3 linked regions of the Schizosaccharomyces pombe genome follow. Changing the gene in region 3 together with the main gene of any one other region gives a genetic interaction. Each region holds a gene or a part of one and is shown on either strand. Other genes may lie near its edges.

Region 1 (5,998 bases), 570 kb from region 3:
CCAGGACCACGAGGTCGTCGCATAGCATGCTTATGCCTTGATTCATGTAAATATGGTTTTTTCGTAGTCTGCACACCACGCAATCTCTCTTCTAACTTTGCGCGAGCTTCTCTACGTTTCAAAATTCGATGGTATTGCTTTGCATTCACGTAAAGCCCCTCGACCGGCTCATATGGATTCATTGGAAAATGACTATTCTTATTTCAATTGCTCTAACTATTGGGAGGATCTCAGGAATCAAAATTCTGCTCGTTACGGTATATTCGTCTCGTTGGTCGGTTGGTTGGTTTAGGTGGTTTGTAACTCCGCAGGCGCTAGCGACTACCAATGGTAAGCAGCTATTCTTTACATATCGGTAAATGTGTATAACGATTATTGTCGATCTTTCCAGGATTGCAAATAGTGAGGACGGCTTGCAGTGCATTTTGTCACAAACGAATATATAATCTTATGTACACATATGATAATGTCACTAACTGAATGGCATAACTATTTTCTTATGAATTGGGTTAAAAAAAAGCTAACAGTCGAAATATAATACAACAGAGGTTGCATTGTAGCGTATGGCACTGGAACACGTTATACCAAATATCTTTTTTAAACAGTTTTCAATGTTGTATGCGATGTAGTTGAAGAGGGAGACTTTTACCTCGTACAATATTTTTTTATTTGATATTATTAATAATTTACTTAGAAGTAAGCATCATCAATTCTTATGTACCTTTTAAAGTGATGTGTTTCAACGCTTTTATTTTGTAAACTTGCTGCTTTTTTCTAATTCTAGGTCATTATTCTTCTTTCAATTTATAAAATATCTTTTGGGTACGCTTTTTTGTGCAATCCTCTCCTTTCTAACGTTTGTTTACATATTGAGTATTAGGTAACGATGTTACTTACATATTAGTTGAAGATTTATTGTTTATACAACAACTCTTATTCCCACCACCTTTTCAGCGCACCCAGAAGTACCGTCTTTTGATCAGCTGTTAGCAAACATCTGTTTTGTTTTTTGATAATTTATAATGCTTAATGATGAACAAGCGTAAAAGAGTGGAAGAGCTTGGAGAGACGAAACATCGTCAAGTACGACAGCGAATTCTCCAAGAACACAAGAACGATATACTTGAAAATTTAGCATTTGAACGTAAGTTTTTGTACCTGGAAGTAGTAAAGTGTTAACGGGTATTTTTCAGTTTCCGATAAAGTACGACGTTTGCGCTCAAACGCTAGTTTACTTGCTTCAACAATTCGTATGCGAGGAGAAATGCGTATCGCCGCTATTCCTCGCGCTCAACGAAATATGCATCTGCGCGATCTAAAGAACCATCTTTCCTGCAATGTGTCTGCCACACCGTGGAGAACGTAAGTGTAATATCAAATTTTACTTTGCCATACGTACTACTGGAAACACTAATTGCTAATTACTATTTCAGAAAAATAAAAGAATTTTATAATCTAGACGAGCTTTCCTCCCAAAAGTCCGCTAGACAACCTACAAAAACGGTGGCATCCTCCTCTTCTTCTTCATCAAAAAGCACCACCGTTTCCAAATCGAGTTCAAAGTCGCAAGTGTGAAACCCTCATCTACTGCTTACTGTGATAAAATTTCACTACTACAAAGTTGGTATTCATAAACACTTCGTAGGATTCATTATCATTATTTTTAAAGTACATCATCCACACGATACCGAAATATTCTCATGTGAAGTCCATTTATTTCCCACTTTACTTTTGATGAGTAACTCATTCTTCTTGGGAAACTTGAACAATTTTGCGCATTCTGTCCATCACCTCTCGAAATATAGGACGTATTTCGTTAATTTCCATTGCACCCAAATTATCCAAAGTTAGTTGAACTTCATTAATGGCTTCCAATCCCGTTCTTGCTTTACTTTGTCTAGCTTCTCGAATGTCCAGCAAAATCCTCCTGATATCCTCAACATCCTCGATATCATCAGCACAGAAGTTTAACAATAAATGCGCCGTTTCTAGCCACCGAAAAGGCAACTCTGAGAATGTCTCGTTTTCCAATTCATCATCTCGTATGTTTTCAAGTTTGCCTATTTCCATCCATTCCGGAGGTACAATCCTTGCCAAATTTTGCTTTTTTAGCTCAAGAGCCAACCATAAAGGAACCCGACATTTTTTGGGAGGCTTCATAATGGGAATCGTCGCGCTAACTAGCGGCAATTGATCCATTGTTTCTGAAGGAACAATGTTAATATACTCATTGCCAGCTAAAAATTCCATTTCCTCTGGTGAGAATGAAATTTCAAGTTCCCTTGGTAAGGCCATCTCTATCACCAACGAACAGTACAAAAATGCCTATCAATAGTACCGTTTTTGGGCTTAATGTCTTTTTTTATTTAAAGTTTTGTTTTTCTATTTTGGAGTTCGTTTATAGCATTTATTGGTTGTTATTCCTTACAGCATAATTTTTTGTGTGGTGGGTTTCGGACTCATAATAGTCACCCTCATCTAAATCACATCTTGCTCTTAGGTCATCGGTATATGATTGTCAAATTTTTATATTTCTCGTTTTAAGGTAATAATTTTGAATGCAAAAACCTTCATTGTCACAAGACCTTATTTGGATATTGAAATCAGTCCAATCTCGTAGGTCTACGAAAGGGTTTTTGCAAAAACATTCTTCGCTTAAGGATGGCTCTCCCAACAAGAAATCCTTCGCTCAGCCAATATCGAGTTCGTTTTTAAACAGAATTTCTATTACCAAAATTGATGATGTGGATTCTTTAAGTGATAATACCCTATATGGAATTGGTCGAAGTATAAATAGCCTGGCACGTTTAGGGATTCAATCAGTGATTGTTCCCACTTCCAATCCAATTGGCATGACATCTCCTTTTAAATATTTGGAGAATGGTACGGTCGTAGCGAAAAAACGTAAACTTTCAATCTTTGAGGAGCTACAGCAACAGCAAAATAGAGTCATTCGAGTTTCGGAAATTTTTTCGAAAGCGGGAGTGTTAACCCGTCCTAGCTACTCCTCTGTATGTCAATTGGGCCCTGAAGGCCCTAGTGTTGAGAATGTGCAAGGTATTTTTCAAGCGCTGTCTTCACTTTACACGGTCATAGTGCCAAGCTCGATTTTAATGCCCAACGTCATTGAGGTTCCAATTGATGGTAATGAGGTTCTTGCTGGTTTAACTTACTCGTTACACAAGCCAAACTTTGGGTTTTGGGTAGACCGAATCGTCATTCTTGATAAAAATGGTGGCATGCCATGTTCTAAACGACAAACTGGTTCTAGTCATGTTCTCATCAATCTGGCTCAAGAGTTTGACGAGTTAGCGAAAACACTTCCACCTTATCATAGAAAAAATTTGATTTTGGTAAGACGCTGTTTGAAAATGTTACCGGATGATGCCTCTGCTCTAATCACTACGCCTGAGGATGCTATGCTTACAAATCCTGTCTTAGACAAAAATCCGTTAATTCACAATGTTTTGACGGATCGCTCTATTATTTCATGTTCCTTGCCGCGCGATCGATCTCCTATTACGAAAACAACTGTTTTGCGTAGCGGTGTACCGGTATATACATTCCTAGGTCCGAAATGTCTAACTGATGGCTCCGTTTCGTGGGAAAGGCTTTGGGTTTTAATTAATGACTCCTTTAAGCGAACGCTTGATATGGACGCATATTTAGATAGGTTGAAGAATTCGCTAGCTGCAGTCATTATTGCAGGGGACTATTTAGGGACAGCCATTGTAACTTATGAACAACCAGATGGAACAACGAATGAAAAGGTCCCTTATCTTGATAAGCTTGCCGTCTCACAAGGAGCCCAGGGTTCAGCAGCAATATCTGATGTTATGTTTAATGTTATGACTGATTTATTTCCCAAAGAGTTGATATGGCGCTCTCGCCTGACTAATCCAGTCAATAAATGGTACTTTGAAAGAAGTGTAGGCTCCTTAAAGTCAAGCAAAACACCTTGGAAACTTTTCTGGACTGGAGACTCACATGTCAGAAATTTGGATCGAGTGAACCAGTATATGAGCGTTATTGATAAAATTCAGCCAACATGGTTGAATTGAGTGGAAGTTAACGATTGCACTTTATCAGAGACAAGATTATTTCGCTTCTTCAAAAGCACTTGTCAAACTTTTTAATAAAAGGAAAAAAGTCCATTTTGATAGGACATTAATTCTCTTTTGCACATTAGATTATAGATTGAGTAGTTTGCCTACAAACTTGCATTTTTCTTTAGTTATGATTTTTGTTTATTCCCCCACATAACCCCCATGTAGAGCTTAGAAAAGGTGATACTAGCTTTTTTCTTTTGTGAGTATCAACGTTTATCAACAAAACTAGTAGTAAACATGTCTTATAAACTTGAGTTGTTGCGTCGTGCCTTAGAACATAATGTTTTGAAGTTTGGAACTTTCACCTTAAAATCAGGCAGAAAATCTCCATACTTCTTCAATTCTGGTAATTTCACTCATGGTGCCGATTTATGCGCTCTTGCAGAAGCCTATGCCGAGACTATTATCGCTATGAACGTTGATTTTGATGTCATATTTGGTCCTGCTTATAAGGGTATCTCTTTGGCTGCTATAACGGCCGTCAAACTTTATGAAAAAACTGGAAAGAGCTATGGATTTGCCTATAACCGCAAAGAGGCCAAGTCCCATGGTGAAGGAGGTAACCTTGTAGGCGCCGAAATGGAAGGTAAAAAGGTTTTACTTTTGGATGATGTTATTACCGCTGGAACTGCCATTCGTGAAGCAATTTCCTTCTTAGAACCTAAGCACGTAAAATTGGCTGGTATCGTCCTTTTGCTTGACCGCCAAGAGCGACTGGACCCCGAAGTAAACGAAAGTACCATTGGTAGATTGAAGAAGGAGCTTAACTTACCCGTTTCCTCCATCCTTACTTTGGACGACATTGTTGACTTTACCAAATCAGACTTAACTGCAGCTGAATCAAAGGCAATGGATGCTTACAGACAGCAGTACCAAGCCAAATGAGCTTATGGTAATGTTTCTTTTAAAAATTTGGAAGGAGGAAAGAGAATAATTGGATAAGTATCTTTTTTGGTTTTTAGCTTTGCTTTTTTAAAGAGAGTGAAGTTAGTTGGTATTTACATATGTTATAGAATTTTTTTATCTGTATATTTGTGGTGATAGATACAACTCATATTAGAAGGAATTTTCTATAAAGCGATTGCATTTAGCGGTATTCAAAAATTTCTCTATAATAGACGAAGGAAATTGGTTTACTTGTTAAGCTTTTGTTTTGCACATATCCATCTATCTTTTGATTAGTTCCGTGAATCTGTTTTTTTTGTGTTTGTTTCTTCTTTTGTGTTATTCGAATCTTTCCAAGATGACAGTTAGGAATGAAGCTACCAAAATATTGAGTTGAGGGATAATTAATGTTTCACAAAATGGTATTTGTGTATTATTTTTGTAAAAATTTGTAGGATTTGGTTTTTAGTGATGATTATTTACGTTCGAAAGACGCATATAATGGGCAATTATAAAAAATTTAGGATTTTATTTTTCAATTCTGCGACGGGTATTTATGCTCTGTGTTTGAAATACCAAATATTAAATAATGGTAAAACCTTTAAACAGAAGCCTGGTGATTAACTTTTTATTATGACAAGAAAATGTTAAGAAATTTTGGAATGTTTTTATTCTCATATTCAATGTGAATTTGAATAAGTAGTCACTGCAGTCTATAAATAAAAATGGTTTATTAGAAAAACTCGAGTTGAACAATGAAATTCTTTATCATTTATGTAATACAATTGGTTTAACATAGTGGAATCGAATGGTACAATAATTGAGTTACTAATATGTAACCTTCAAGTATTTATCGTTTACCACTAACTCACCATAAGAGAGGGTGAAAGATTTAGTTCTGTTTGTGTGAGATCTTAAAAAAGCAAGCAAATTTCCTTTTTATCAAAAAAAGGATCCGCATTTCCTGAAGCACTTTACTGTGATTTTAGGGATTTTTTTGGTGA
Region 2 (6,528 bases), on a different chromosome or scaffold from region 3:
AGGGTTGATGCTTAGTGTTTCTCAATTACAATAACAAGCTTTGGATTTTCCTATAATAGTATAGTTAATATGAAATTTAAATCCTTGAATGGTAAACGTTTACTGCGTATTGTGCGGCCATCGTTTCTGCTCTATCAGCTCGTCTAGCATCTTCTTCTCACAGCTACCAACTATTTTGAGTTGGATCCAAAATCATCTCATAACTCGTGTTTATTATTGCTAAAGCAGCAGAGAAAATATTTTTCATTACCTTATTCAGCTTCAATGAAAATTAATTTGTTTTTTGTGTTTCTATTTGAACTTCTGCATTTCGTGGCAGCTTATAGTTGTGAAGGAGATGAATCAGCTGCCATTGAAGCTATGAATGTCTTACAGGTACCGTATGAAAAATACAACACAGACCCAGTTTGCGCTTTTGACAATTCCACCGTTGTCGAACTTTCAGATAAAACCTGGGATCATGTCATTGAATCTGGCAAATGGTTTGTGCAGTTGACTGCTGAAGGCTGTGCTAACTGTACTCTTGGAGAGCTACTTTTTAACGTAAGTAATGGACTGCATTTAATGTTGTCCAAATGCTCTTGTTATGAGATTGAATTTTGAGCCTCGGAAATAAATTAAACCATCTTTGGATTTAATTGAATCTGTACTAACTAATTTTAGGACCTTTCGCATGCTTTTCATGAAAAATATCCGGATGTCCACTTTGCCCGTGTTTACTTGAGCAGTAGCCTCGAACTTTCTGTACGCTTACTCATTTCTCGGATTCCTTCTTATTATTTCATCGATAATCAAAATTTCTACCGTGTTTCTCCTCAGGTTCTTCCCAAGAACAAGGCAATCGCCTTATATGAAAAAGACGGGTTCAAAAGTATGAAAAAAGAGCAAGGTTTTTTCTCTGTTAACGGGCCCTTGAAGTCCTTTTACTGGGTCTTTGGAAAGGCACTTGCACTTTACGGACACTTAAGTCAAAAATACACCCCTCTTGGAATGAATGTAGCTATTTTTGGGATCTCTGCCTACATAATGTATCGCTCTAGCAAAAAAGCGAAACAAAAACAAGCCGCTGCTGCTGCCGCCGCCGCTGCAAAAAAGAAATAAGCTATGTGGAAAATACTATTAGTTTTTGATAATATCAATTTTTTGAATAATTATACGAGAGTTTGTTACATGTTCTATATGTAAGGCACCGCTCTAGTAAAGGTTTATACCCTATTTGTTTCATTCCTTCCTTTTTTAACAGAACGTAGATTTTCCAACCTTATTGCTTGTTTGGAGATTCATTAGAGGAATCATCTTTTAGCTTAGAATAAACGGCAAAGTACTGCCCGTCTCTTTTCTTAGCATTCTGAAATACATTCCACGGCTCTTGATCGGGTAATGATGGTAGAGATTCCGCATTAATAGCATGATTCAAAGTACGAAATGGTTCCTTAATGAAGGATGTATCAAGTCTCTCAATTGCATGCATTTGAATGATTCCTTCGTTGAGTTTTAGAATTGTTCTTTCATTCTCTTCCTTAGAGTCTGCTTCACGAAGACCAACGAGCCTCAGCAAATGACCATACTCAGTTAAGCCAATTGGTTTGGGTGGATTTCCTTGGAGAATTCGTTTAAGTGAAACCTTTGAAGGTTTCAAAAATGGCATAGTGAAAAGGAAAATAGAGCTAATTACAAGAGAAAAATATAGTACAGGTTAAAAAAAAGATTCAATCTTAAACACTTTGTAAGTTTTTCAAATGCTTTGAAACAGCTGTCGAAGTTGTAGTCGGTTCCTACAATTTAACGACTAGGTTGTAAGTCTGGGTTTTTTTAGAATTAATAGTAAAGGAATATATTAAATCATTCGGTAAGTAAAGTCAATATAATCAGCTTCTCTAATTAGGAGAACTATTTTTCATTACTATGATAACCGTTTCCCATTCCCTAAATTTACGACATCCTGCGATGTCTGTATATAACTTTACATAGCAGTGTTCCAGTACGTAATATTGTTGAATGCTTGCGTAGAGTAACGACTTTATTAAAATTGGTTATTGCAATTGAATAAGGTAATATAAAATGCCACATTATTAGCACTTTAGGTGTCTACATGTTTCGCTATTTTTTAATGATGTATGAGAGTATTGTTTATACCCAAAATTGTAAGCGCATTTTCCATCCTTCTGCCTATTACAAGAATCGCGTAAATCATGAGAAAAATTTGGGAATTAAAAAAGAAAGAAGCTCAAAAAGAGAAAAATGCGTCAGGGATTAGTCCAGCACAAATCCGAATCCAAAAAGGTGCGACTCATCATGTTGATAACTTTTCGCGATTTACTCGAAACTAACCATTTTCGATGAATTTAGACGTTACAGATTTAGAAATCCCATCTACGATGTCTACAAGCTGGCCAGATCCTATAAAATTGAACGTGCTACATTTAGAAATCCGGCCTGACGAAGGTAAGTTTGTGATTCCGCATGAAAGAATATTTGGTGTAGACTTTTTGAGACTATTATTTTTTATTTTGATTAACATGAAAAGGGTATTACAAGGGTGGGAAATTTAAATTTCGAATCCAAATCGACGATAATTATCCTCATGATCCTCCTAAGGTTAAATGTCTAAACAAAGTATGTCAGTCATGCTCTAAATTAGAGTTGCAGCTTATGGTATATTTTTTGCATTTAAGAAAATAACCATTATAACATGTTTTGAACCCTTTCGTTCTGACCTACTGTTAGATCTATCACCCAAATATCGATATTGAGGGAAACGTATGCCTCAATATTCTGCGTCAGGATTGGAATCCAGTGTTGAATTTGAATTCTATTTTGGTTGGATTGCAATTTTTATTCTTGTCACCAAACGCAGAAGATCCACTCAACAAAGGTAGGTTAATTACAATTTTTTGGGGGGCAATGAACTATTTCTTGTTATTGCATTACAAGGAAATGATTATTCATCTCTTAACTATCATTTGATACTCATTTTTTCTACGATCCTTTATTATGGGATTTATAAGGTTCTTTACTGAGGACAATGATTATGATAAGCAATTTTAATATAAGAAATCTGGTTTGCTCCTTAACAAATTTTCTAGATTTATTTAACTATACTAACAAACGATATCTTTTAGAGGCGGCGGCTGATTTGCATAAAGACCCTCAAGGATTTGCATCTCGTGTGCGTACAGCCATGAAAGGTGGTCTTGTGAATGGAATTTCTTTTGACAATGTCATGGCTTAATTTTTCATCAATCTAAATCAATTCGATAAAGATAACCGACATAGATTAGACGACTGTCATGAAAATATTGATGTGTTTTAAATCTCGCTAAATCAGTCACGATTACGATGAACTTCCGATATCAGTATAAAAACACATAACCAGAACCAAACCCCCCTAATAAGCCCGTAACTGCTTTACAATGTTTCAAAGACGATCACTTCTCTCTGTTCGTTCGTCTGGTTCCCAAATCGCCTTTCGTCGATTTGTCAGCGTAAGTACAAGTTTGTTGATAGAGTATGCATTGTAAGTGCAACTGAACATACGATGGCAAATAATTAGACTATCATCTAATTCTGATTGTTTTCGAGAATTCTGTACTTTGCTCTTGTTTTTAGACAAGTATTGATGTTGAGAATGCTTCTTACTGACCCAACAAAATAAATCTTCATTTGTGCTTTCATACTGCCTCATACAGTACTAATTTTAATATTTCTTAAACTGCTTATTAACCAAGTTTAGCTTACCCACAAAGATCCAACTCCTGATACAACCAGTTGCAATATTATCAAGAAGGAAGGGGCGAATATTATATCAGTTTATGCACGCTATCCAGTCGTAGCTGCTAAAGGTGAGGGCTCCTATTTGTTTGACAAGGAAGGTCGTAAATACATTGACTTCACCTCTGGCGTAGCTGTTACATCTTTGGGTCATGCTCATCCTGAAGTTGCTAGACTTGCCGCTGATCAATGCTCCAAATTAGTCCATAGTAGCAACCTTTTCTACAACGAGCCTGCCATTGAGCTATCTAATGTCATTAATAATTCTTTGGCAAAAAATAGCGGTATTGCTGGCCCCACAAAAATTTTCTTTGCCAATTGTGGTACTGAGGCCAATGAGACAGCCTTGAAGTTCGCTCGTAAGGCAGCGTTTGAGAAGTATGGAGAAGGGAAGAGTCAAATTGTTTACTTTAATAACTCTTTCCACGGCCGTTCTTTGGGATCTCTTAGTATCACTGCGAACCCCAAATATAAACGTGGTTTCCAACCATTACTTCCTGATGTCGTCCAAGCCGTCTATAATGACCCTGCATCCATAGAGCAATTTGTCAATGACAAAACTGCGGCTGTTATTGTCGAGCCCGTTCAAGGTGAAGGTGGTATTTGTCCTGCCAAGCCTGAATTTTTGATTGCTTTGCGCAAGGCCTGTGATAAGGTTGGTGCTTCTTTAATCTATGATGAAATTCAATGCGGACTTGGTCGCAGCGGTGATCTTTGGGCCCATAGTATCGTTAAGGATGTCGCTAGTCCCGATATTATCACAGTTGCCAAACCTTTGGCTAATGGTCTACCTATCGGCGCCACCATTGTCTCCAGTAAGATCGCTGCTGAAATTCACCCTGGTGAACATGGCAGTACTTTCGGAGGTAATCCTGTTGCTTGCCGTGTAGGCACATTCTGTGTTAATGAATTAGGGTCATCCAAGATTCTACAAAACGTTAGAAAGCAACACAAGGCTCTTACTTCACGTTTTGATGACTTTGTTGCCAAATACCCTAATCTTATTCGTGGATATGCTGGTCGTGGTCTTCTTCTTGGTTTGCAATTTACCGAGCCCCCTGCTAAATTTATTGAGCTTGCTCGTCAACAAGGTCTTTTACTCTTACCAGGTGGAAACAACAACACCCGTGTCCTTCCTAGTTTGAATGTTAAAGATGAGGTTATTGCTAAGGGTTTGGATATCATGGAGAGCACTTTGAAGGCTTTAAGTAAGTAAAAGTGTATGTTTTCGTAGACTTGGTCATTGAATGGATTGGTTATATAGTGCGATAAAAAGTGATTATTACGAGAAATCTTGTTCCTCGAAAACATATATTAACCTTGCTCTCATTTGCCAACCAAAAAATTTTTTGATAGGGGGGTTACGAAAAGCTTAGCTGGAAGCTTTACATTGTAAATACTGGTTTTCGTTATTCCCTTTCTTTTCATAATCAATTTTGTTTACATTTTTTGTTAGAAAATTAGATATATATTGTTGTTTTTCATCTACTAAACTGAATTGTCGTAATATGTACCGTAAATACTCTGTCAAATGATAGTAATTCACAAAATCAATGTTTTTTTACTGCGTTTTCTATTACTAACTTTTAAAAAGTTATATAGCAAATAACATTCCATGTTTTCTTTTAGCATTAACTATTTTTTTCTTTGGCATACAATTATTATATCAACATGCTATTCATTCAATTCACATTAGAACGATATCGTTATAAGGAATTCTTAATCAATTTTTCGTTTCTATATTTTATCTTAATTTAAGGCGCACATCGATACTTTAGCAAAATACCACCATATTCAAAAATAAACAAAATTTTTTATCTTTCTAAAAAATATCATTTTTTTAAGTAAGTTTAATCATTTTATAATGATTGAACAATGAATATCATCTCATGCTTATTTTGAAGAATCGCATTTCGCGTAACTAAAAGCAAATTTCTTGGATACCCTCAGTACATTTCCAAAAATATTACTAAAGATGGTAGGGAGGGGATCTTTTTCATCTACCTCGAGCGCCTCATCCATTAATTGGATTCCAAAAAACACTAAAACTAGCATTGAAAGTGTTTCTAACACTATTTCGTTGTCGGAAAATGGGCAGAACCAAGACTTGGAGACTGTTACTACTAAGGAATCAAACGTTGGCGACTCTGACACGACTGAAAACATTAAAAGTCCGTTTAATGGACAATGGCCATTTAGCAGAAGATCTAGTCAAAGTAGCAGTCATCCGGTTTTTGAGGAAACACATTGGAGTAAGCATTCCAAGCGCCCAGGAAAGTTGAACGTTTTAACGCCTACTAGCCCTTCTAATGTTAATGCCGAAGTTCAAAGTATTTCTACGAAAACTCAATTATCGCTGCTTAACCTCTCTCCGCATAAGCATAAAAAGCCTAAAGATGGTTTAGATCTTTCTGCTTTGCAGAAAACGCTCAACGGGTCTCGAAATTTCTTAAGAGGAAGAAGAGACGCTGGGGGAATTTTTGGCGCTTCCATCCCACAATCACTTGTTACAAATCAAATAATCAATGGCTTCGGTGCAGCCTCTCTTGCATTTGCTAAATTGGGCAAAGTTCGCTCTCCTTTAGAAGGTCGCTTTAACCTGGTTCCCATATCCGCGGATGAAACTTGGCTTATTGTGGAATCCGAAGTTTGTAGTTTATATTCGGGTGAGGCTTTGCACTATTCTCTTGAAGATTTGAATGGAATTCTTATATTACATTTACAAGCTCTTATCCGTGATACGAAGATGAATGAGTT
Region 3 (9,545 bases):
TGTGACTGTTTTTGCAAACAGGAACCATGCCGAAACTTTTTTGGCTTTCAGGACTACAACCCAGTAAAACTATCCACGAGCCAACATGCAGTCTGTTCAGTGCTTTGGAAAGAAAGGCAATGCCACAGCAGTCGCCCACTGTAAGGTCGGCAAGGGCTTGATCAAGGTCAACGGTGCCCCTCTCTCTCTTGTTCAACCCGAAATTTTGCGCATGAAGGTCTACGAGCCTATCTTGGTCGCTGGTGCCGATAAGTTTGCCGGTGTTGACATTCGTGTCCGTGTCTCTGGTGGTGGTCATGTTTCTCAAATCTATGCCATTCGTCAAGCCATCTCCAAGGCCATCGTTGCTTACTACCAAAAGTTCGTTGATGAACACTCCAAGGCTGAGCTTAAGAAGGCTCTCATTACTTATGACCGTACTTTGTTGGTTGCTGATCCTCGTCGTATGGAGCCCAAGAAGGTATGTGCTAAACGAAGAGAAGTTCATGACATCTTCGGAATCGATTTCTTGCACGATTTATTGTGTTGTCGAACTTGTTCCGTGTACAGAATGTTAATGATACTGTATCTCTCGATACGACATAACATTTGTTTCTTTTTTTTAGAATGTGTTACTAATGATTTTTTTTAGTTCGGTGGTCATGGTGCCCGTGCTCGTCAACAAAAGTCTTACCGTTAAAATGTGTTTGGCTGTTTGGCTTTTTTCCATTATGTATCTATACAATTGATTTATCATAAATATTGTTTGATACTGTGTACGAGCCAACCGTTGGTGTTTTCGTAAACCCTTATTCATAATTCTTCGGTATTGACATATATGAAACAAAAGTTCAGTGTACGAGAAAGCGACTGTAGAAATGTATTTAGAGATTTTAATAGTACTTATAGTTTCTATAGTGCTGTCGTGTAATTGCTTAGTCGATTAGGTGTAGTGGAAATTCCTTGTTCGGTATTGTAGGAATATCAAAATGGTAGATTGAACGAACGAGTTAGGTGAGTAGGGCCGCCGCCATATGATGGATTGTGTTTTTTGAGTGTTCAAAATTAAACAATTAAAGATTATTTAATTCAAGGTTGCTTCTTCTTTTTTAGTGTTTTGAAAATCTCTCACTATGCACTGTGCGACTGCACTTACGCAGGTCACTTCTTACTTTTTTAAATATCACATGTCGAAACGGCTTGCTGAAAAAAAAATAGGAGTTTTGATCATTTTACTTTTCTGCTAATATTCAGTTAGAAATCCCACAGTGGTTATCGAGCAATGTCATTTTAATTGAGAACAAACAAGCACCGAAAAATAAATCCTTATTTGAAGTAGATAGTTTTGCAAATCTAACGATAAATTTACTTGATAAAATTTGAGTGATTAGACACCATTATGGCAGGCTCCAAGTGGGAGACAGAAGAAACGAATCAATTCGCAATTGAAAATCAAAAATTAGAAGAGGAATGGCGTAAAAAGCGACGGTTAGAAAAAAAAAGAAAAAGAAAAATATTAGAGGAAGAAGAGAAAGCTGAAGAAAGAAACATTGATGCTTGCAGGCTCTACTTGATGGGGAATACACCTGAACTTAAGTCTTGCAATTCTATTGATGATTATGAAATATTGGAAAAAATTGAGGAGGGATCTTACGGAATCGTTTATCGAGGTCTTGACAAAAGTACGAATACCCTGGTTGCACTCAAAAAGATTAAGTTTGACCCTAATGGAATTGGATTCCCTATTACTAGTCTGCGAGAAATTGAATCACTATCCAGCATTCGACATGATAATATTGTAGAATTGGAAAAAGTGGTTGTTGGTAAAGATTTGAAGGATGTTTACCTAGTTATGGAGTTCATGGAACATGATCTCAAAACATTACTTGATAACATGCCCGAAGATTTCTTACAATCTGAAGTCAAAACACTGATGCTTCAACTTTTGGCTGCCACGGCATTTATGCATCACCATTGGTATCTACATAGAGATTTAAAGCCTTCTAACTTGCTAATGAATAACACCGGCGAAATCAAACTCGCCGACTTTGGATTGGCAAGGCCAGTATCAGAACCCAAATCCTCTTTGACACGCTTAGTTGTGACTCTTTGGTATCGTGCTCCTGAACTTTTGCTTGGTGCACCAAGCTATGGTAAAGAAATTGACATGTGGAGCATTGGATGTATCTTCGCTGAAATGATTACTAGGACTCCTTTGTTTTCTGGGAAAAGTGAGTTAGATCAATTATACAAGGTATGCGATTTTTGATTTTTTATTCTTACCTTAAAAAATTCCTAACAATAATATTAAGATATTCAATTTGCTCGGTTATCCGACTAGGGAAGAGTGGCCCCAATATTTTCTTCTTCCTTATGCAAACAAAATTAAACACCCTACGGTCCCTACCCACTCTAAGATTCGTACTTCTATCCCTAATTTAACGGGAAACGCGTACGATTTATTAAATCGACTTTTAAGTCTAAATCCTGCGAAGAGAATATCTGCCAAAGAAGCACTAGAACATCCTTATTTTTACGAATCTCCCAGACCCAAGGATCCTAAATTTTTTCCTACTTTTCCTAGTAAGGCCAAAGGTGAATCAAAAGAAAAAAACGTGTTTCAAAGTTTTCGTAGTGCATCTCCAAAGAAGTGATTTTGATGAAGTGAATATTGGCATTATAATACGTGGAAATGTAATTGGCCTTAATTTACACTACTTATATTACTAATATTTAGATATTTCTTTATTTTTTCCGTTTAGTCCCCAAATTGCAATTGTAATTGTAAACATTTTATGATATCATTGATTTTCGATTTATGGCCATTTATTTGAGTAAAATTTCTCCCTTTCTACAAAACGTTTCACTCATAGTGTTCAGTAGTCCTATTTTTAACTGAGGTAAGTGTATTCGAGCATCGATGTTTTCAAGCAAGCTGGTAATGAACTTTCATGAATTGATAGTAATCTGTTGCAAAGTATTGTCAAAAAATTTTTCTTATATCACTGCTGATGGTTTTACTATATCTATGGGACCCCTGTTTCTATTACATGACTACACTCACTCTTCCTTACCATTTCCAATTTTTTTAGTATTTAATAACCTTGACAGTTCCTACCACAAAATTATTGCCTTCCTTATTTTATATTTAATGGGGATAATTTTTTGTGATTATGGCAAGACTTTTAACTAAATCAAGTCAAGTATTTGATTTTTTGGCAGATAGATTATCAGTACGAAAATCCAGACGATTTTGGGAAACACAGGAAAATTTAGAGTCTTCCACACCTTTATTACAAGAACCACAACAAAGTTATCGTAGTAATAGTTTTAATGAATTACCTCCGTTGTCTAGAAGTGTAACGTTTGCTGAGAATGAACAACCAAATGAAGCGGTGAAATTGGGAACGTTTGAAGGTTGTTTCATTCCAACTACTTTAAACGTACTCTCCATCCTTCTTTATTTGAGATTTCCTTGGATTATTGGAGAAGCTGGTGTTCTTAAAACATTGCTGATGTTATTTATTAGTTATGCGGTAGGTATATTTACAAGTCTATCGATCTCTGCAATTTGCACGAACGGTATGGTACGTGGCGGAGGTGCATATTATGCGGTTTCTAGATCTATTGGCCCCGAATTAGGAGGCTCAATTGGTTTGATATTCTATGTTGGGCAGATACTGAATACTGGTATGAATATTTCTGGTTTTGTTGAGCCCATTATAAGCATTTTTGGAAAAGAATCAGGCACTATTTCACAATTTTTACCCGAAGGATATTGGTGGGTCTTTTTGTATACAACTTGTGTCCTCGCAATGTGTTGTATTTTATGTTGTTTAGGTTCTGCCATTTTTGCTAAGGCCTCAAACGCCCTTTTTGTGGTTATAATACTCTCAACAATATCGATACCAATCTCTTCGATATTTGTTCATCCTTTCAAAGATCCTTCCTTACTCGTTCATTTTACGGGATTAAAATGGTCTACGCTGATGAAAAATTTAGCATCTGCTTACACAGAAAATGAGAAAGGAACAGGTTATGAATCTTTTAAATCTACATTTGGCGTATTTTTTCCTGCAACGGCAGGTCTACTGGCTGGCGCAAGCATGTCTGGTGATCTTAAAGCACCTTCTCGTTCTATCCCTAAAGGTACTATATCTTCTCAAGCAACGACCTTTTTGCTTTATTTGCTAGTAATTTTATGTGTTGGTGCCTCTGTAACTCGTACGGGACTTTTACTTGATATGGACGTTATGGAACATATTAGTTTACATCCTTTATTCATCATTTCTGGAATTCTTTCTAGTGGCGCCTTTAGCTCGTTTATGGGTATATTTGGAGCTGCAAAGCTATTACAGGCAATCGCGCGAGATGATTTAATACCCGGAATGTTTTTCTTTGCAAAGGGTTCTAGCTACGATGATATTCCTTATGTTGCAATTGGAGTGACTTACTTAATTACGCAAATCAGTTTATTTTGGGACATCAATATGCTTTCTTCGATGATTACAATGACTTTTCTTCTGACTTTTGGCTTTATCAACTTATCGTGTTTTCTGTTACGAATTAGTAGTACCCCAAATTTTCGACCTACCTTTCGGTATTTCAATAGACGCACTACACTGGTGGGTACCATCTTGTCATTTGGCGTAATGTTTTACGTTGATCGCTTGAATGCCTTTATCTCATTTTTAATTGCAGGAATTTTGGTGGTAGTCATATATTTCACATGTCCTCCTAAAAATTGGGGTGATGTGTCTCAAGGCATCATTTATCATCAACTTCGAAAATACTTGCTGCAAACTAATAAAGCAAGAGAAAATATAAAGTTTTGGAGGCCTCAAATTTTACTTTTGATTAACAACCCGAATCGGTCAGAAAATGTTATCCGTTTCTGCAATTCATTAAAGAAAGGCATGTATACCGACATTTTTTGACAATACTAACCCATAAATTATAGGTTCCCTCTATATCTTAGGGCACGTTATTGTATCCGATGATTTTCAGGCTAGCATGGATGATTTAAGAAAGCAGCAACGTCTTTGGCATCAGTTTGTCCTTGATCGAGGTATCAAAGCATTTGTTGAACTAACTATTGCTCCAGACGAAGTTTGGGGTATCCGTGGTCTTATATCTTCTGCAGGCTTGGGGGGAATTCGTCCAAACATAGCTGTGCTAACATTTATTAATACGAATTATCGTAGACATCGTATATACTCGGGTTCTTCTTTCTCTCTTGAGAATACTAGTGAAGAATCAGAATCTGACAGTAAAAAAGAATTTGTGGAGCATGATATACTACCTGTGAAGTGGGTACAGATATTGGAAGACATGCTTGTTGGTTCGGTGGACGTTATGGTAACTAATGGGTTCGATAGACTTAATTGGCCAAAAAGAAAGGGAGAAAAGCAATATATAGATATGTTTCCCATTCATAGAATATCAGGTGTGGGGTCAGAAGTCAATGAAAGTACACCAACGTTTGCGACGAATTTCGAGACGTATACTATGGTTTTTCAACTTAGTTGGATCCTTCATACAGCTTCAGATTGGAAACAAGGTTGTAGGCTACGGCTTATCACTCTTGTTGAATTCGAGAATGAAATAGAGGCAGAACGAGAAAGCATGCATCAAATGCTAGAAACGTTCCGTATCAAAGCCGACGTTGTAGTGCTCTGTCTTGCTGCAATGAATTTGGATGCATATAGGTACATTGTCAAAAATGAGCATGTGAGACCTAGCAAGTCTTCCGAGCTTGAAAACTTACTGAAAGATGACTCGTGGTGGCAGGAAGAAAAGAAAAGAAGAGGAAATACTGTAGATTCCTTAGGACCTATTCGTTTTCCACGTCGTATGTCTGGTTATAACTTTAGATCTGCCAGCTTTGATAAGAGTGCTCCACCTTTAAGTGTGCCATTGAGTTTCCGCCTTGGGCCACATATGCATTCAGTAAAGTCGTTTGAGACTGAATCTTCTTTCGGAAACCGTTCTTTATCACCAAAACAAGAAAATAGAAGAACTTATTCTGACAGTACTATTGAGTCATCTCTGATGCCCAACGTGGTCCGAGAAGATAGTTCATCTGATAGACTAGCACCAAAGAAAAAAATAGGAAGGGACTATTCTAAAGAGAAGTTGACGTTTAACGATTTATCCTCGAGATCTCAATACATAATTATGAATGAAATCGTGCTGAAACATACTAAAAATACTTCTGTATTGTTTACTGTTTTACCAGCACCTTTGGCCGACACTCATAAGAGCTTTCGAAAAAGCGAGGAATATGTTGATGACTTATTAATATTTATGGAAGGATTACCTCCTTGTGCATTAATCCACTCTAAGAGTTTAACTATAACTACCGCTCTTTAACGATTTATGGTATTTATGTCTTTGGTTTATAAAGTCTTTTCTTTTGGCATTGTTATAACTATTTAAATATTTGGTCCATGATTTCTATTTTAGATGCTAATATTTTTTTTTTATTCTGGACCAAACTTTAAACAAAAAAAAAACGAGGCAATAAAGTGATGAGTTAATCTTGCATATATTTCATAGGAGCTCGAAAACTTCAAAATGGTAAAATAATAAAGATACGAGTATTTGGTGTCGATTTGTATTAAATTTATCTTGTCTTGAGTATCTAGCCAATACTCTCGCATTGAAGTACAATGATAAGCTAAGGAAGCTGTCCAGTGCAATACACTGGATACACTGGGAAGAATTCGTAACCGTCTTTAGTAAAAAGGACTTTATCATTAAGTAAAAAAGATTGAGCTAATATGAATATGTGTTAGCTTATACTTCATATAATGCCCTTTAAGAAAGCCTAAAAATGGATGAGGGGTGTTTTTGAAGGAAGAAAGTGAGAGAAGTAATGATATTATGCTTCATCTAGCTTCGTCTACGGTTGTTTTTTCACGGAAACCTCGCGAGAGTTTAATTTCCTCTGAATCAATCTGCACACTAGGGGGCCAATCTGCATATTCACTATCGGATTTATCACTCAGTTGCAAACGAACGGAATTTTCGGGAAATTTTTCTTTATTTAAAATATCTGCCAAGTCCGCAATCGTGTTAGGAACCTCTTGTCGCATTATTTTTCTTCTACGAACGGGTATAGGCAATTTCAAAAGGTCACTAGTCAGTGGTTGAACAGAACGATATTTTCGATAGTTTAACAGTTGCATAAAAACAGATTGAAACATTGATTCATTAGGAAATTCGACTTTTAGTAAAGGAACCCAATGGTCTTTACGGAGCTTAGCGGGTCGCATACCATTTGGAGCGACTGGCTTTTGAAGTGGGTAGGGAAGTTGAAACAACGCAGTCTTTTTTAAAACATTTCCTTGAGATAAAAGTACCTGATTCGTTTGAATATGCCTAAATATATAGAGATACTTGTTCTTTTCAAGCATTCTTTCCTTTTACGAGTACAGATTGGCTGTTTACATATATGCTTGTAAGAGATGCGAAGTTTGTTAATAGCGCGTCCGCGTATAAACGTTGTGCCCAATAAACACATATCGTTTGCTAGCACAGATGTTAGGCAGCATTGCGCGTTGAGCAGCCAAAAACAGTAAATGTTTTAATGATACGGTGAGTGACGGAAAATTTGAATACTGGTCAGCTACGCAGTTTAATATCTATTTAAAGTGTCGCTCACGTATTTCGGTATCTGCTTAACGATACTTAAAGTGCAATGAATCTCTCTGTGACCTAATATATTATGTTACACAGTTAATATAAGCAGCAATTTCAATGGGTGTTCTCTGAAATAAATTATATTGTTACCTATGGACATAGCAAAAAATATTACTTTTCGCTTGGGCTGAATGTTGGTAGATTTTGAATACGAAAGATTTCATATAATACAAATTGAATAATTTTTTAATTCTTTTTGTAAAGAAATTGCTACTGACCAGGAATTGGGAAATCGCATTATTTAAAATAGGTTTTCGCTCTACACCAAATTGATTTTTCATTTTTATTTGTTTTAGAAACAAGTTTGAACTTATATTTCCTGTATATACTGTATTTTAAAGCTCCGAACACTTGAAAATGATATATGGAATCCTCATTTTATGCATTAAACAGAAACTAAGGTTAAATCACTACTTTGCGTCTTTTGAGTAATGCCTTACTTGTTCAATTTTTTAATTCGCAAATCTTACAAAGTCATAATTAAGGATTGTATATCAATTTGGTAAAACAATAAAGAGGATGATTAATTTATAATTGACAACCAGATTCATTAGTTAAATGACTTTTCCTAGCACCACAGAAACACATCGTGTTTACTCTATAACAGAGACAAAAATGTATGTATGGAAAAAGAGTGATGACTGTCATCGGAAATGATTAAGTGACAATGCGTATAAGGTAATAATACAAGAAATAGAAATAAAGGGGAAAAAAGGAGCTTCTGCAGGAAAGTAAGAAAATTAGTAATGAAATAAAAAAGACACTCGCAGCTGGTTGGCAGCCCCTTGATTTTTTTTTCTAGCCATGACTTTTAGCTGCTGCCCGATTCTACATCTTTAGAAGTGTTGCAATCGGTTCCCTCAGCCATTGTGTTGTCACTTGCTGGCTCTGTGGTAATTGCTTGGCCTCGCATAGACGACATTTCAACGTCGCCAGTCTCTTCATCTTGTTCTATTACTTCGAGCCCGAGAATAAACAACAGTAAGGATAAAATAATATGAGCCAAACCTTGAATTGCTTTAGCTACATATTTAACTAGGCCTGCAATCGTTTTAGCTACATGTTTAGCTAGACCTTCATTCGCTTTAGCTACAGATGGTGCATAAACATAAGCTTCTTCAAACGCTAATTTAATTAACGAAAATGAAACTAGAAAATCGTTAGCCATGAATTCAAATCATCTCAAAAACTTACAATAAACAATAATCACTGTCATCACGTATGTAAATATTAACACTATAGTTTCAATAACATATTTAACCACAGAATTAAGATCCGCCAATGCCTGATCGAAATAATTATAAAAATTATGATAAAGCAATAAAGTAAGAATGAAAGGAAGGAAGATATGAAATATCGCATATCTAGCTTGTGTAAGTCGCACATTTTCCGAACGCTTTCTTAATCTAGCAGGTGCAGCCATTGTATTTTTTTTTCGTAACGATGGTTGTGTTAATGTTGAGTTTTGTTTGACAATTGGATTGTTTACATGATTATTGACTGAATATGAAGGACAAGAATGTAAACAACCCTTCTCCAAATCATTCCAAACTTCATTGTATTGAGGTAACTTTTCGTCTGGCATTTTGAAGAGCCTTTTACCAATAGTGATTATATACGTTTGAGTTCCAACTTGAACATTGCAAAATAAAATGCGAAATTAAAATATAAAATAGATAAATAGATCAAAACCAAACACTTGAATAGCCTAAAAATCCACGCGTTCTAAGCATCCAACAAAAAGAGATGGCTCTTGTTAAGGAATGAAATTGAATCATTGTGCTGTCAATATCAATTTACGCACAAGTTAGCATTAATTAGGCACTGCGTACCAATACGCTATAATAGCGATGCCTTGCTTC

What was found.
Region 1: mutations in vhc1 (region 3) and arg6 impair growth when combined (synthetic growth defect), as found in Schizosaccharomyces pombe (one study listed by BioGRID).
Region 2: mutations in vhc1 (region 3) and arg1 impair growth when combined (synthetic growth defect), as found in Schizosaccharomyces pombe (one study listed by BioGRID).

What each region holds. Positions count from the first base shown.
Region 1 is NC_003423.3:1,226,733-1,232,730, forward strand, and holds arg6 (acetylglutamate synthase Arg6), read left to right. Parts: upstream 1-2,492; 5' UTR 2,493-2,558; coding exon 2,559-4,061; 3' UTR 4,062-4,183; downstream 4,184-5,998. Other genes in the region: CCAAT-binding factor complex subunit Php2, read right to left, coding at 1-182; nbl1 (borealin N terminal domain-containing protein), read left to right, coding at 1,030-1,144, 1,194-1,362, 1,434-1,575; GINS complex subunit Psf2, read right to left, coding at 1,744-2,295; orotate phosphoribosyltransferase Ura5, read left to right, coding at 4,347-4,994. UniProt on the Schizosaccharomyces pombe protein: N-acetylglutamate synthase involved in arginine biosynthesis.
Region 2 is NC_003421.2:1,611,783-1,618,310, reverse strand, and holds arg1 (acetylornithine aminotransferase), read left to right. Parts: upstream 1-3,374; 5' UTR 3,375-3,413; coding exon 3,414-3,485; exon of another isoform or gene 3,486-3,513; intron 3,514-3,733; coding exon 3,734-4,987; 3' UTR 4,988-5,264; downstream 5,265-6,528. Other genes in the region: SPOM_SPCC777.12C (ER stress response thioredoxin family membrane disulfide oxidoreductase), read left to right, coding at 265-543, 664-1,101; protein Gta3, read right to left, coding at 1,262-1,648; NEDD8-conjugating enzyme Ubc12, read left to right, coding at 2,193-2,283, 2,350-2,445, 2,528-2,616, 2,728-2,875, 3,123-3,232; Protor homolog, Bit61, read left to right, coding at 5,747-6,528.
Region 3 is NC_003423.3:1,793,862-1,803,406, forward strand, and holds vhc1 (vacuolar membrane cation-chloride cotransporter Vhc1), read left to right. Parts: upstream 1-3,085; 5' UTR 3,086-3,152; coding exon 3,153-4,893; intron 4,894-4,939; coding exon 4,940-6,351; 3' UTR 6,352-6,869; coding exon of another isoform or gene 6,870-7,397; 3' UTR 7,398-8,091; downstream 8,092-9,545. Other genes in the region: rps1601 (40S ribosomal protein uS9), read left to right, coding at 86-460, 632-679; Cdk11-cyclinL compex kinase subunit Cdk11, read left to right, coding at 1,379-2,233, 2,292-2,633; mhr1 (mitochondrial 54S ribosomal protein mL67 ), read right to left, coding at 6,870-7,397; SPOM_SPBC18H10.18C (uncharacterized protein), read right to left, coding at 8,495-8,832, 8,878-9,268.